Elephas maximus indicus: one gene and its partner. The main gene of each other region encodes a partner of the protein of the gene in region 2 in a complex. Links are inferred from orthologs where the notes say so. Each region holds a gene or a part of one and is shown on either strand. Other genes may lie near its edges.

What was found.
Region 1: the proteins of STAP1 (region 2) and LAT2 are in contact, whole or in part, in a crystal structure (PDB 3MAZ), measured with the Homo sapiens proteins. The link is inferred for Elephas maximus indicus from reciprocal best matches to the Homo sapiens genes STAP1 and LAT2. Residues at the interface, in NP_001304698.1 of Homo sapiens: Arg184, Arg203, Pro204, Gly205, Ser206, Ser212, Ile215, Gln217, Ile219, Lys225, His226, Tyr227, Lys228, Glu239, Leu240, Glu241, Tyr255, Phe256, Glu259, Thr260, Arg261, Asn263, Leu264; in NP_054865.2 of Homo sapiens: Asn134, Ser135, Tyr136, Glu137, Asn138, Val139, Leu140, Ile141, Lys143.

What each region holds. Positions count from the first base shown.
Region 1 is NC_064830.1:109,527,459-109,535,175, forward strand, and holds the start of LAT2 (linker for activation of T-cells family member 2), read right to left. Parts: upstream 3,024-7,717; 5' UTR 2,873-3,023; intron 1-2,872. UniProt on the Homo sapiens protein: Involved in FCER1 (high affinity immunoglobulin epsilon receptor)-mediated signaling in mast cells.
Region 2 is NC_064823.1:91,985,726-91,993,500, forward strand, and holds the start of STAP1 (signal-transducing adaptor protein 1), read right to left. Parts: upstream 3,066-7,775; 5' UTR 3,018-3,065; coding exon 2,898-3,017; intron 1-2,897. UniProt on the Homo sapiens protein: In BCR signaling, appears to function as a docking protein acting downstream of TEC and participates in a positive feedback loop by increasing the activity of TEC.

The DNA.
Region 1 (7,717 bases), on a different chromosome or scaffold from region 2:
CCGTCAGGACAGAGCGCTGAGCCACGGTCGGGGCCCTCAGGACAGAGCGCTGAGCCACGGTCGGGGCCCTCAGGACACAGCGCTGAGCCACGGTCGGGGCCCTCAGGACACAGCGCTGAGCCACAGTCGGGCCGTCAGGACAGAGCGCTGAGCCACGGTCGGGGCCCTCAGGACAGAGCGCTGAGCCACGGTCGGGGCCCTCAGGACACAGCGCTGAGCCACGGTCGGGGCCCTCAGGACACAGCGCTGAGCCACGGTCGGGGCCGTCAGGACAGAGCGCTGAGCCACGGTCGGGGCCCTCAGGACAGAGCACTGAGCCACGGTCGGGGCCCTCAGGACAGAGCACTGAGCCACGGTTGGGGCCCTCAGGACAGAGTGCTGAGCCATGGTCGGGCCGTCAGGACAGAGCGCTGAGCCACGGTTTGGGCCCTCAGGACACAGCGCTGAGCCACGGTTGGGGGACCTCAGGACACAGCACTGAGCCACAGTCGGGGCCGTCAGGACAGAGCACTGAGCCACGGTCGGGGCCCTCAGGACAGAGCACTGAGCCACAGTCGGGGCCCTCAGGACAGAGCGCTGAGCCACGGTCGGGCCATCAGGACAGAGCGCTGAGCCACTGTCAGGGCCCTCAGGACACAGCGCTGAGCCATGGTCGGGGCCGTCAGGACACAAAGCTGAGCCACAGTCGGGGCCCTCAGGACAGAGCACTGAGCCACGGTCGGGGCCCTCAGGACACAGCGCTAAGCCATGGTTGGGGGACCTCAGGACACAGCACTGAGCCACAGTCGGGGCCCTCAGGACAGAGCACTGAGCCACAGTCAGGGCCGTCAGGACAGAGCGCTGAGCTACGGTCGGGGCCCTCAGGCGCACCCGCCTCTCTCACCCCCCAAAGCCAAATGAGTCAGTGGGAAGAGCAAGATTTCCTGGCCATGTGATGGGTGGCCTCCCCATAAGGAGGAAGGAAGGTCCTTGTCACCCCACAATCTCGTCTGAGGCCAGGGCACTTGGGTACACCCTAAGGCCCTTCCGCCTCTGGCGCTGGGTGAGGGGAGGGAGCCTGAGGGTGGACCTGGTCTCAGCTGTTGAATCCCAGCATGGCTGGCCTTCAGCAGTTGGGAAAAGATGGACACTCATCAGGATAGTCTGTCCTGAGGCCCAGCAAGGAGAGGAGCCATGTGAAGGGCAGCCAGGCCAGGTCAGAGCTGGCCACTGCGGTACTACTGCGGCTGCCTCATGTGCTTCCTCAGCCCCCACAGAAGGGGGGTGGGAAGCTGGTGGCCTGTGGGAACCAGGCCCTGGGTGCCCGCAGCAAACGTGGAGCAGCCCAGCCCGGAACCTGCTGACTGGACCGTACCACAGACACACACAGGCCCGACCTGTCCCCTCGACCAACCCACAGGGGCCAAGCAGCTGGGCCTAGGATGGGCTGGGAGCTAACGAAAGCAGGCCAGAACACATGGGACCCCTCAATCCCTGGCCTTTGTGACCCCCAGCCAGCCCCCTTTCCCAAGACTCTGAGAGAGGAGGGCCACAGCTGTGCTGCAGAGCCAGGACTGATCCAGGGCTGATCCAGACCCCACGCTCCTTGCCCATTTTTCATATTAAAATTTTTAAAAACCCTAAAATATTTTTCAAAAGAGAGGCTAATTTAGGGAACACTCATATGCCCGCCCCCGGACTGAGTCCCTCTCTTACAAGGGGTTCTCAGAGTAGGTGGGCGGGTGGAACAGGGGGGAGAGGCGGTGGGCTCCCCAGGAGAGGCAGGGCCCAGCCCCAGGTGGGCCCCAAGGGGCCAGGGCGGGGCGGGGCAGGGAGGGGGCCACCGCAGCTCTGGGGCTCTGCGGCCAAAATAGCACAAAGGGAAGTGGGCAGTTTTCATATGAACAAGGCCTGCAGCTAGCAGCGGCGGGAACGGTCAGGGGCTTGGCTGGGGCTCGCTGCCAGCATCCGAGCCTCCCACCCGGAAGGGCTCCTGGGGACCATCCTGTTCAATATCCCAGTCCTCTCTACGCTGTAGATGGGGAAACTGAAGCCCAGTGAGGACAAGGGACTTGCAGAGCCAGCAGGGGTTGGAGTGAGAGGTGGCAACTGGCCTGATCTCCTCAGAAAGCTTTAGCTACCAGGCTCTGCTCTGGGCCTGTTCCGTTTTTTTCCAAATAACTCTGGGCTTCAAATGAGGCTGGCTGAGAGGCCCTATTAGTGGGGCTCAGAACCCCCAGGTGGCAAGGAGAAGGCAGGAGGGTGGGTGGTAGAGAGGTCTGGGCAGCCCTTGTCCCTGGGGGCGGTGGGGGCAATGGTGAAAGCCGGGTGGCTGGGAGCCTGACCCACCCTCCAACAGAGCCAGACACAGGGAGCCTCCCAGCCTTACAGCGGGCATCCCCATGGTGCCCCAACAGAGAGCTGGCAGGCGGGATAGGGGCTAGGTGTGTGTGTGTCGGGGCAGTGGGGTGGCAGGGCCAGGACCAGGCATGACTGCCTGGAGACTCTCACCGATCCTCCCGCAGCCCTGGGGCAGAGATGTTAGTATCCATTTTACAGATGAAAAAACTGAGGCTCATGGGCCTGGGCCTGGGCCTGCTTGGAGCCACCGTTCTGGTTTTTTAGCTGCCCCTCAGAGGTCTGGCAGTGATGGGAACCAACCTGGGGGCTTCCCTGGGCTGTGTCAGGGCAGGAAGGGGGCTGGAGCCTCAGAAAAGGTTGCCCCTCTGAGCGCCACAGGGTCTGGGGTGAGGGCCTCATAGCCAGGGGCATCCTGGCATCATTCCACCCCACCCAACAGGACCACCAAGTACTCCTGCTAGGCCAGCAGGGCCACCCCCTCCCCCGTGGGATGAGCGGGGAACAGCTCCAGACACTCCTGGGAAAAGCTTACCTGAGAGTCAGGGCTTCTCACTGCGGCCACCCCATCCTGAGCCCAGACACCTGCCTGAGCTGACGCCAATGCCAGAGACACTGACGGGCAGCAGGGGGGGTGACGGGCTTCCTGTCAGCCACTGAATCATCCCTCACACATCCGCTGCTCTGCCGGACAGGCTCTGCTATTAACAGAGAGAGGAACAGAGAGAGAGAGAGAGAGAGACACAGAGAGAGGGACAGAAAGAGACAGAGAGGGCGCAGAGAAAGAGAGAGAGAGGGACAGAGAGAGGAGGGGGAGACAGGCAGAGAGAGAGAGGGACAGAGAGACAGAGACAGAAAGAGAGGGACAGAGAGAGAGGCAGAGAGTGGGACAGCAAAAGAGAGAGAGAGGCGGAGGGAGAGAGAGAGACAGAGACAGAGAGAGGGAGACAGAAAAACACACAAACACAGCAGAGAAAGAGAGAAAGACATGGAGAGGCACACACACTAAAAAACACATAAACACAGAGACACCCACAGAGGAAGAGAACCAGAGAGAGACACACACAGAGATACAGGCAGGGAGAGACACACACACAGACAGACACATGCATGGACATACACAGAGACAGGCAGAGAGACAGAGCCCAGCTGAGATTGACCAAGAGACACAGAGAAAGGCAGAGACAGAGATCAGAGACTGTCAGAAACACACACAGAGACAGAGAGACTCAGAGGGCAACAGCCCCAGAGAACCAGACTTGGACATACGGTCCTGACACTTGGCAACAAAATGACTGGAAAATTGGCAACCAAGAAGTTTGGGGAAAAGACATTTGGCAACACATTACAAACCCTACAATTAAAATTTATATCGTAGAAACACAGTACAACACTGCGGTAGCTAAGTTCAGTGCACCCACCAAAATGACACTAAGTATTGGGCCACATGGACAATTAAACAGCAAAAAAAAGCACATCTAAAACCATCAAACCGTAACGATAACCAAAAACTGGGCACTCAAATGAAATCTACCTACGCCACAACACACTTTCCAACACATAGTTACGCTGAATACCTCGTAGGACCTTGCAGCACGGAGACGCCCTAAGGAACATACTGACAAGATAAAGCCTGACAAGCCTTCAAATTATTCTAATAGATTCTGTTGGTCCTTTGCATACCTCTGAAGCCCAAGCAGCGTTTGGTCCCACGTAAGGTCTCTGTTCAGACCTTCCACAATGTACACCTGGCTTCCCTGCAGGAATCATTTACACGGCTGAACGAGCCACACACAGACGTGGCCAATGGGCTCATGGAATCCCACTGCCAGTGGAACCCCTCAGCGAGGCAGCCTGTAACCTGTTTAGACAGCTATTTGCTGTCAGGGCTGCACATACCCAGACAAAATAAGAATTCGCCCTTTAGGTCAACCCTACAACAATAAACTGAAAACATGTACGACAGTACTTTTTCTTTCTCTGTTATTCCTTCTTGGCAAACAGATGAGCACCTACTAGCTCTGAGCATTCTGTCTTGATGCTATGCCTATTAGGAGTTCCTTAAACTAAGAAAATCCTACAGTTTTTAGGTAGTCTCATAGAAGGCCTGACAAGGACCTCGTTAACACCATTAGAAATTAATGACCTGACTGTAAAAGCGGTGCGTTTTAGGAGCTGTGACAGAACTTTAACTCTTCTGCTCTGGAAGCTCTGACACATGGAGGCTCCTCAGTCAGTGACGGCGTCAGTGAGCACAGTCTCTAACAGGCCATGCCATGGACATCCTAAGAAAGGCTGTTAAACAGGAACAAACTAAAAGCCGAATGATTAAGTTATAAATTGAGACCCGAGGTAACCTCTTACAGACTGCATTAAAGGAAATGTGGAACACTTTAAACATCTACCATTTGTAACACTGAAGGTAGTAACCGGAGCTCTGCTGTAACAGACCATCCCATCAAGCCTAAAATTAACGTAAGACTTGACAATGGACGTGACACACTGGGGCATCAGCTTTGAAAGCCGATACTGTGAAATCAGACTCTCATACCATGATGACACACTAATTGCAAAAGTGAGAATGGATGCTTAGAGCTAAACAAATGCCCCTGTACACAGAAGGCATACACGTTCCAACCATTAGTTATTAGAATGGAAGGCTGACAACTGGAAAACCCCTGACAACACCGAAGTTCTAGATGTCCAAATTCCATGGGCTGAACTGTATCCTCCCAAAATACGTGTCAACGTTGTTAGGCCACAATTCCTAGTATTGTGTGGTTGTCCTCCATTTGGTGGTTGATATAATTTTCCTATGCGTTATAAGGAAACCCTGGTGATGTAGTGGTTAAGTGCTACAGCTGCTAACCAAAAGGTCAGCAGTTCGAATCCACCAGGCACTCTTTGGAAACCCTATGGGGCAGTTCTACTCTGTCCTATAGGGTCGCTATGAGTCAGAATTGACTCGAAGGCAATGGGTTTTTTTTGTTGTTGTTGTTTTTGTTATGTGTTGTAAATCCAAATCTCTGCCTGTGGTTATTGAGGCAAGATAAGATTATGTTAAAGATTACTAGGGTGGGATGTAACACCCTTGCTCAGGTCACATCCCTGATCCAACGTAAAGGCAGTTTTTCTAGGATGTGGCCTGCACCACTTTTTATCTTACGAGAGACAAAAGGAAATGGAAGCAAGCAGAGAGTGGGGGCCTCATACCACCAAGAAAGCAGTGCTGGGAGCAGAGCTGAAGTTCCTGCATGAAGAGGCTCCTATTCCAGGAGGAGATTAATAAGAAGGACCTTCCTCCAGAGTTGACAGAGAAAGAAAGCCTTCCCCTGGAGCTGACACCCTGAATTTGGACTTCTATCCTACTAGACTGTGAGAAAATTAATTTCTTTGTTAAAGCCACCCACTTGTGGTATTTCTATTAGAGCAGCACTAGATGACTAAGACAACCACAGTCTTAATTTTTTAACAACCAGTTGTCCATAATTTGACAAACTGGACCTTTGTAGCATGCTCCAAAATTTTGATAAATCCAACTTATTGAACAGATGGCAACAATGCAAATTTCCCCTTCAAGGTTGCACTAACATAATATTTTGAATACTATTGTTGTTAGGTGCTGTTGTTAGTTCTGACTCATAGTGACCCTATGCACAATAGAACAAAACACCTCCCCGTCCTGAGTTATTCTCACAATCGTTGTTATGCTTGAGCCCACTGTTGTAGCCACTGTGTCAGTCCATCTTGTTGAGGGTTTTCCTCTTTTTCACTGACCCTCCACTTTACCAAGCATGATGTCCTTCTCCAGGGACTGGTCCCTCCTGATAACACGTCCAAAATATGTGAGACAGTCTCACCATCCTTGTTTCTAAGAAGCATTCTGGCTGTACTTCTTCCAACACAGATCTGTTCGTTCTTCTGGCAGTCCATTCAATATCCTTCGCCAATAACATAATCCAAAAGCATCAATTCTTCTTTGGTCGTCCTTATTCATTGTCCAGCTTTCGCATGCATATGAGGTGATCGAAAACACCATGGCTTGAGTCAGGCACCCTCAGTCCTTGAAGTGACATCCTTGCTTTTCAACACTTTAAAGAGGTCTTTTGCAGCAGATTTGCTCAAGGCAATACATCGTCTGATTTCTTGACTGCTGCTTCCATGGGTGTTGACTGTTGATACAAGTAAAATGAAATCCTTGACCTCTTCAGTCTTTTCTCCATTCATCATGATGTTGCTTATTGGTCCAGTTGTGAGGATTTTTGTTTTATGTTGAGGTGCAATCCATACTGAAGGCTGTGGTCTTTGATCTTCATCAGTAAGTGCTTCAAGTCCTCTTCACTTTCTGCAAGCAAGGTTGTGTCATCTGCATATCACAGGTTGTTAATGAGTCTTCCTCCAAACCTGATGCGGAGTTCTTCTTCATATAGTCTAGCTTCTTGGTATTATTTGCTTACCATACAGATTGAATAAGTATAGTGAAAGGATACAACCCTGATGCACACCTTTCCTGACTTTAAACCACACAGAATCTCATTGTTCTGCTTGAATGACTGCCTCTTGATCTATGTACAGTTTCCTCATGAGCACAACTAAGTGTTCTGGAATTCCCCAGGATTTGTTACAATCCACACAGTTGAACGCCTTTGCATAGTCAATAAAACACAGGTAAACATCTTTCTGGTATTCTCTGCTTTCAGCCAGGATCCATCTGATATCAGCAATGAGATCCTTGGTTCCATGCCCTCTTCTGAATCCGGCCTGAATTTCTGGCGGTTCTCTGTCAGCTGCAACTGCTTTTGAATGATCTTCACCAAAATTTTACTTGCATGTGATATTAATGATACTGTTTGATAATTTCCACATTCTGTTGGATCACCTTTCTTTGGAATGGGCACAAATATGGATCTCTTCCAGTCGGTTGACCAGGAGACTTCCAAATTTCTTGACAAAGACGAGTGAGCATCTCCAGCGCTGCATCTGTTTGCTGAAACATGGCAACAGGTATTCCGTCAGTTCTTGGAGCCTTGTTTTTCACCAATGCCTTCAGTGCAGCTTGGACTTCTTCTTTTAGCACCATGGGGTCTTGATCGTATGCTACCTCCTGACACGGCTGAACGTCGGCCAAATCTTTTGGTACGGGGACTTTGTATTCCTTTCATCTTCTTTTGATACTTCCTGCATTATTCCATATCTTCCCTATAGAATCCTGCAATATTGCAACTTGAGGCTTGATTTTTTTCTTCAGTTCTTTAAGCTTAAGAAATGCCAAGTGTGTTCTTCCCTTTTGGTTTTCCAACTCCAGGTCCTCACATGTTTCATTGGAACACTTTACTTTGTCTCCCTGAGCCACCCTTTGAAATCTTCTGTTCAGGTTTTT
Region 2 (7,775 bases):
GAATTGACTTGACGGCAATGGGTTTGGGTTTTAGTTTATCAAATAAATTTTCCTGGTCAATCCAAAATTCTACTGCTGTGGTTTAAGTCACTCTTCTCACATTATCTCTTCAATGAAGATGATATACTTTGCGTGGGTTCTTGACCTAGGATCCAGAGATGTTCTGGAATTGCATGCTAAATGGTCTATGTAGGTACATTTTCCTGAAGCACAGCTCTTTAGATTCTTAGCCGTACTCTTGTCACAAAAACACCTCTCAATGTGTAATTGTCCTTTTGTAGACCAGGTTACTCATCAGTTATATTTTCTCTAATTAAATGTCTACCAGACACCCCACTTAACATTCTGCAGAGCTTCTCATCTTCTTGCAGCCCATTAGCTTCAAAGACGACGTTACCATATACCCTGGGTTCACTTTTCTTTCAAAGGTTCCCTGGCACTTGGCACTGCTTCCTTGGAAATCCCACTTATTTTTCTAAACTTTTCCTCATATCTTCTATTTTCTAATTGGCTAATTATCACTGTGGCTCTCCTCTGAGCCATTATACTTGTGGACCCAAAACTGATTATGTTAATAAGTATATGATAAACAATGAAATGGGAAGAGGACGAACCTAACCTTTAGTGTGAGCCAGGTGTTTTACATGTTATCACTTTTAACCCTTGAAACCACCTATAAGTAGACATTATTTTTGTCTTCTTGATTTCTTCTCCCTACCCATTCAAGAAAAGATCCTTTGCTATGAATTCAAATGTTAATTTCATCAGAAATATTTACATCTATTTTTTTTTTATAGTTTATTCTTTGCATTTCAAAGCATGGTTTCTACGGAAAGCTAAAGCATATCAATTGTTCCATCACCCCTACTAAACTGTAAGACTCCTAAAGGTAAGGTCTTTAGGTCTTATTCATGTTTGTATCTCTAGAACGAGTGTCATGCTTGAGTGCAGAGGAGACACTCAATAAACATTGTTTGAATAAATAAATTGGTTGCACACCCACTGCATCCCAGGCATTGTACTTTGGGAGACGAGTAGTATTCGCCCCCATTTTATAACTGAGGAAATTCAGTCTCAGGGAGATTGTAACTTGCACAAGATCACAAACTAAAGTGGCAAACCAGTAGGAAGGGAATGTTTTATTGACATTCTAAAATTCTTGTTCTTCCTGCTACCCATGCCAATGACATGCATTCTTTAAACATTAGAAGGAAACTGGTGTCTGAAACAGTTATTTTAAATACTTTGGAAAACATCCAAAGAATAATCAAATGAAAATTTTTCTCTTTCCTGGCATGGTGTGCCAGTGTGGCTAATTTGTGATGACGAGATTGAATTTACTTTAAAAGCATATAAGAATAAGTTGAGTGGTCAACCAAAAATATTTCAATTTTATTATTAATTGTTGTTCAGTTGGCTCTGACTCATGGTGAACTTAAGCGGAATAAAACATTGCCTAGTCCTGCACCATCTTCACAATCATTGATATGTTTAGCCCATTGTTCCAGCCACTGTGCCAACCCATTTCATGGAGAGTTTCGCTTGTTTTCTACTTTACCAAACATAGTATCCTTTTCTAGGGAATGTTCTTCCCTAATTATGTGTCCAAAGTAGTAACTGACAAAAATTACTAGTACATGTTTAACACCCAAAACTGAATAAAAATTACCATGCCTTTACTCTCAAATAGTAAATTATCTAATGTAGATATAAGAAGTATGAATGTGCTATTACAGATATTTCTACACACACAATTTTTCTATATACTTAATAAATCCTCAGAAAATATATTTTATTAGTGTTGTTGTTAAGCACTTTATGTAGCATTTCTGAAAACACTTAAAATTTCTAGTTCCATTAATATTAAAATGTCATAAAATTTAACCTAAAAAAAATCATTTATTTTTTCTTTAATAACAATAACGTGTATTTCTTTCACTAATTGCAAAATTAGCCACAATTGCTATTTTTAAAGAACTGATTTTATTTAACTATAGGTTTTCATTGTTGACAGTTTTAAAATATGGCACGCTTAGTGAATTTTCTTAGAGCGAATAGATTAATATGGCTTACTGTGTACATACTAACCAAGACAAACCAAAAAACCCATTGCCATGAGTCGATTCCAACTCACCGCTAACCAAGATAGCACCCTAAATATTATCTTGCAAATTAACTATCCTGAACAGCGTTTCATAACAATAGCTGCCATTGAGTTGCTCCCCAACTTTTGGTAATCCTGTGCACAACAGAACAAAACACTGCCAGTCCACTGCCATCCCTATCATAGTGTTAAGAAGTATCAATTTTATCATTTTTATAATTTTTTATAAAATTTGACACTTTGTATTTAATTATTATTGATAAACTTTTATAAATACATATTATTATTTATAAACAACTGAGAATATGAGCAGAAAGCTTAATTTCAATCATAATATTATCTTAATAGTACACATGGTCATGGAAACACAGTAGTAAATTGCAGAGACAATTTAAGAAACATATTATCTCTTAAGCCAAAATCTTCTGTGATTTCTAAATGAATTCTTTGGAAATTTAGATTATTGAATTATTTTATATTAGTAACTTAATGGTATATGTTACTAATATAAAAATTTATGTTATACATATACATATTACTAATATTATATTAGTAACTTAATGATATGTTACTAATATAAAAAATCTTGTTATATATATACATATATATATATATGCCATATACTATATATTTGAAGTATGCAAAATTGGAAAAATATTTCCTGACCTCAAGGAAGAGAAGAAAGTTTTAACCCGACAGAAACACAGGGACCCTTATCCCATTGCATCACCATGAAATACATTTTGTATTAAGACAGAAGCTTCTGGTTTAACATTATTATCTATATCCTTACCTGGTATTCTAGCCTCTTGACTAATAAAAAACCTTCAAAGTACAGGGGAAGAGCAGTAATCTTCAACCTTTCCTGGAAGATCCTGCGAGGGGCTGGTTTAGGGGGCTTCTTAGCCATCATACCCTCTCTTCGGTACGTGGCTTGGTTTCAACAGTATTCAGTCTCAAACTAAATAAGTTCTCCCTCGTCTAAGGGGAAAAGACAACTGTTCAAAGAGGAAGTCCCAGCTTGCTTTTTAACCACTAACACCACCAACTGGACACAAACACACACACTTTCTTTCCCTTATTTTTGAGATGAGAAAGAACAGGCATAGACCAGCTTTTAGAGGGCTATGTCTGAGTGAAATACCTGTACTTGGATTTATGGTAGCAAAATAAACAGAAGATTAACATCACCCCAAGATGAAAGGAACAGACAGCTGTAAAGCATGTAGATGTTAGGGGAGACAAGAAGGTTGTGTTGTATTTTTTTCCACCTGTTTTTTGTTTGTTTCTTGCTATCCACTTTTATTCCCACTTCATTAAAAATTACTTCACCGGATAATCTTATTAGCACTATTTCTGTTGGTTAAATATATCAGGACCAAGCTTTGCTTAAATAAACCAGTCAATTAGTAAAAGGTTCAGCTTATCCCATGCCATTTTGATGGTCCACTAAATGTAAAACACAGTTATGAGAGCTTTAGGATTTTTCAATTTTTGTCAGTAGGCATTTAGAGTATACGGGTTAACAGTGGATATTTGGCAATGGTCCAAAAGAGAAAGCAATGTTGTCGTTAAAAAAAAAAAAACAAAACCCATGGTAACTCTAATGTTGTTAGGTGCCTTCAAGTCCGTTACAACTCATAGCAACCCTATGCGCAATAGAACAAAACACTGCTCCGTCCTGTGGCATGCTAACAATCATTGCTATGCTTGAGCCCATTGTTGCAGCCACTGTGTCAGTCCATCTCATTGAGGACCTTCCTCTTTTTTGATGACCTTCTACTTTACTAAGCATGATGTCCCTCTCCAGGGACTGGCCCTTCCCAATAGCATGTCCAAAGTACGTGAGATGAAGTCTTGCTATCCTTGCTATAAGGAGCATTCTGGCTGTACTTCTTCCAAGACAGATTTGTTCATTCTTCTGGCAGTCCATGGCATATTCAATATTCTTCACCAGCAACATAATTCAAAGGCGTCACTTCTTCTTCCATCTTCCTTACTCATTGTCTAGCTTTCACATGCATATGAAGCGATTGAAAACGCCATGGCTTGGGTCCGGTGCAACTTAAAGTGACATCTTGAGTTTTTAGCCCCTTAAAGAAGTTTTTTTGCGGCAGATTTGCCCAATGCAATGCATCATTTGATTTCCTGACTGCTGCTTCATAGGCATTAAATGTTCTTTAACCCTTTCTGAGCTGCAGAGCTCTGATATTATGTTGCACGGGTGGGGTCCTCACAGTGATATAGTGAGATGTATGGATCCAAAATGCACTCAATAATTGCATATAAGAAATAGTCCTTCAGAGGCTGGATTTGGTCCTAGCACAGAGCAGGGACTGATGGGAGAAGAGAACAAAGGAAAGAATTCTATTTTGTCTCACAGGGGTGAGAAGTTCCACCACTACTTTATGGTTAACCACTCAGCTGCTAACTGAAAGGTTGGCGATTTGAACCCACCAGTCGCTCTGCAGAAGAAATGTGACAGTCTGCTTCTGTAAAGATATACAGCCCTAGAAACCCTATGGGCCAGTTCTACTCTGTTCTAGAGGGTCACAAGGAATCGGAATCAACTTGAAGACAATGGGTTGTGTTTTAGGTTTTAGTTCAGAACTACTCTGACCTTAGAGTAGTAGTAGGCCTGCACGTTCTCCCCAGTTAAACCAGCCTATTCTCAGAAATCAAAGCAAGCCAGAAATCTCCAGTCTGATCTTCCTTTCCTAATGGAAAGAGACCACATAGTTTGCCCAACCAGTATGGATCCCACTGAGATTGCCGCTGTAGATGTGGGAACCAAATTGTCGACAAAGTGAAGGTAGATCAATACACACTGAATATCAGTAAAACTAGAGAAGAATGTTCAGGTGCATTATCAATGTAAAAATCCGTCCATTGCCGTCAAGTCAATTCCGATTCATAGAGACCCTATAGGACGGAGGATCTGTCCCATAGGGTTTCTAAGGGGGCTGCTGGTAGATTCAAACTGCCCACCTTTTGGTTAGCAGCCAAGTTCTTTACTACTGTGCCCCAGTGCTCCATTAATGTAAAGACAGTTTGAAATAGGAATAGGGGGTTGAAGTTGAGGCTCGGTAGTTCAGGAAACTAGACAGGAGAACAACAAAGAAATAAACTAGAAGAGGCCAAGAACAATTGCCATTGCCTTCACCTAAATATGTTGGAAGAGTCTAGGGCTGAGATTAGCATGCATTTTCAAATTAAGCAAACTGTCTAGGGAGAAATACAGTTTCTAGTGTATACTGGTTTACAGATCAATTTAGAAGAAAAATCTACACTAGAAATCAAGTAAGACTTAGATTTAAAGTTACTACCTTGCCTTTACATTAAGCTTAGACATGCTTCCTGCTACCCAAACCTTCAAATGATAAAGTGTTAGTCCAACCAAAGTATTTGAGACAAAATCATACCTATTTTTAGTCTTAGTGTACAAAGGAAGTGAGCTGAATGAAAAAAAAAGAACTCCTGATTTGGTAAATAACCTAATCCACTTTCTTAGCAGCTGGTAGCTGATATAATACAGGGAGGAAGTGAAAGAGGGGATGCAAAGTGAGAAAGGACAAGAGAAAGGGAGGTGGGAAATAGGATGCTATGAATAATCAATGGTTGTAATATGAGACAAGTAGTCACTGGCTTTATAGCCAGATAGCTTCATGAGAGACAAGACTGCCTCTAGAAAAATGTAAAGAAATAAATATTTCTGTGAAATAACAATCTGGTTTATTATGTCTTTCTTGATTTTTTTTTTAAATAAGCAAATTAAAGGAAAATCAGTTTATCAGCCCCTGTAATTTGCTTTGGCTTGCTCATTTACAAGTCATAATAATCCTTAATGTACCAAAGATTAAATTACGTTTCCCTAAAAAAAAACCTGCAAAATGCAAAATTCCTGCGGAAACGTTATTAGCTAATTATATCTGTCTGCAATTACCAATGCCATTGTAGTATTGTACCATCATAATAGAAATACTTTTATAGATACCTGAAGTCTTAAAAAACAAAAACAAAAATCAAAAACTAAAACCCCATTGCTGTTTGAGTCGATAAAACTACCCCACAGGGTTTCCAAGTTACACCTGGTGGATTCAAACTGCCAACCTTTTGGTTAGTAGCCAAATGCTTAACCACTGTGCCACGAAGTCTTAGGTGGTCCTAATGAATTTGTAAGTAAAGAAATATAGTAGAAAAGATGTATGGGCATGAAGAGAGAGGCCAGTTTTGCTATTAACCAGCTCTGAGACCCAAAAAGAAAAACTAAAAAAACAAAACAACCACCACTTTAGGATCACAGCTTCCTTATCTAAGAAATGAGGGGATGGACTAAATGACTTTTTGCCTGAAGAGCTGCCATAACCTTCTAAGTTTCTCCTAGTTTCTACTCTTTTCCTTCTCTAATTCATTTAATGCAATCTGGCTAAGCCACTTTCCTGCTTTTCAGTACTCCTTTGCGTCATCTATGTTATAATGTTATTCATGTCAATGGATGCACCTTTTTACAATAGTTAAGACCCTATTAAATTACTTTACTATCCGCTTATTGGAGTTGATTCAATCAACAGGCCTGAATGAGATTCTCCAAATATCCTCCCTTCCTAAATTTCCAACCTCTGTTTAACTTAATGTTTATTGAAAATTTATTGTCACATGCATTTTAATTCATGGCAGCAAATTTCAAAGATGCTTGTAATGAATATATTTATGTTTACAGTCCATAACTGAAGGATGCACCTTTAATTTTAACCATTATGTTGAATACTTATAGCTCACCAATAAATCAGATACAGTCTTTATTATGAGTCCATCTCTTTATTGCTGTTAGTGACAGAATAAAGCAACGTTTTCCATGGGGTAATACCACAAGCCCAGAGATTCTTTGACACCCAATATGGGGTTTCCTATCCCCTTCAGCTCACAATCATTATCATTTTCGTGATCAATTATTACCCAGAAAATGTTGCCCTTAGGTCTTTTGGGACAGAAAAAAATGATGGAGAATCACTGTTACAGAAGTGATAGTAGTAGTCTTGTCAGAGTGCCTTAATTTGCTAATTTCCTTCTAATTTTCAGCGCAAAGAGTTGGTTCTAGAATAGTAAGAGTTTTTCCTATTTATATGTTCACAATATTTTTGTAGTGTAGGGTATCATTTATGTTAATGAGAGATGTTTCTTAAATGCCTATTAGATGCAGGACACTGGTTTTAAACCTTGATACATCACAAAATAATGGTAGCATTAATAGAAACTATAAACTCAGAATAAGGGTATAGTGGGGGGGGTGTAGAGAGGTAATAGATTCAATATTAATCACTTCAAACTCAATGTATATGGGGTTAAGTCTACATTCTTCCCGTACTTTTCATTTAAGGTCCTTCAGTGCTACTTTAGGGGATAAGGTGGATTGTTGCTTAACATGCATTCCAACCCCTTCTAATGTGCCATCCTTCACTGCAAAGACTGAAAAGCTAAAAACTACATTTTTCAGACTTCTTTGCAGGTAGAGTCGAGACACATTCAACATGATGGGAAAGGCAGAAAAGAGGCAGAATTCGCTCTTTTTATGTTTGCTTTTCTACAGGTAAGCAGGTCTATAGGCATTAAATTTTTCTGTAACAGTGTTATCAGAAGTACTGGTAACTGGTCACTAGTTTCATGGGTGTTG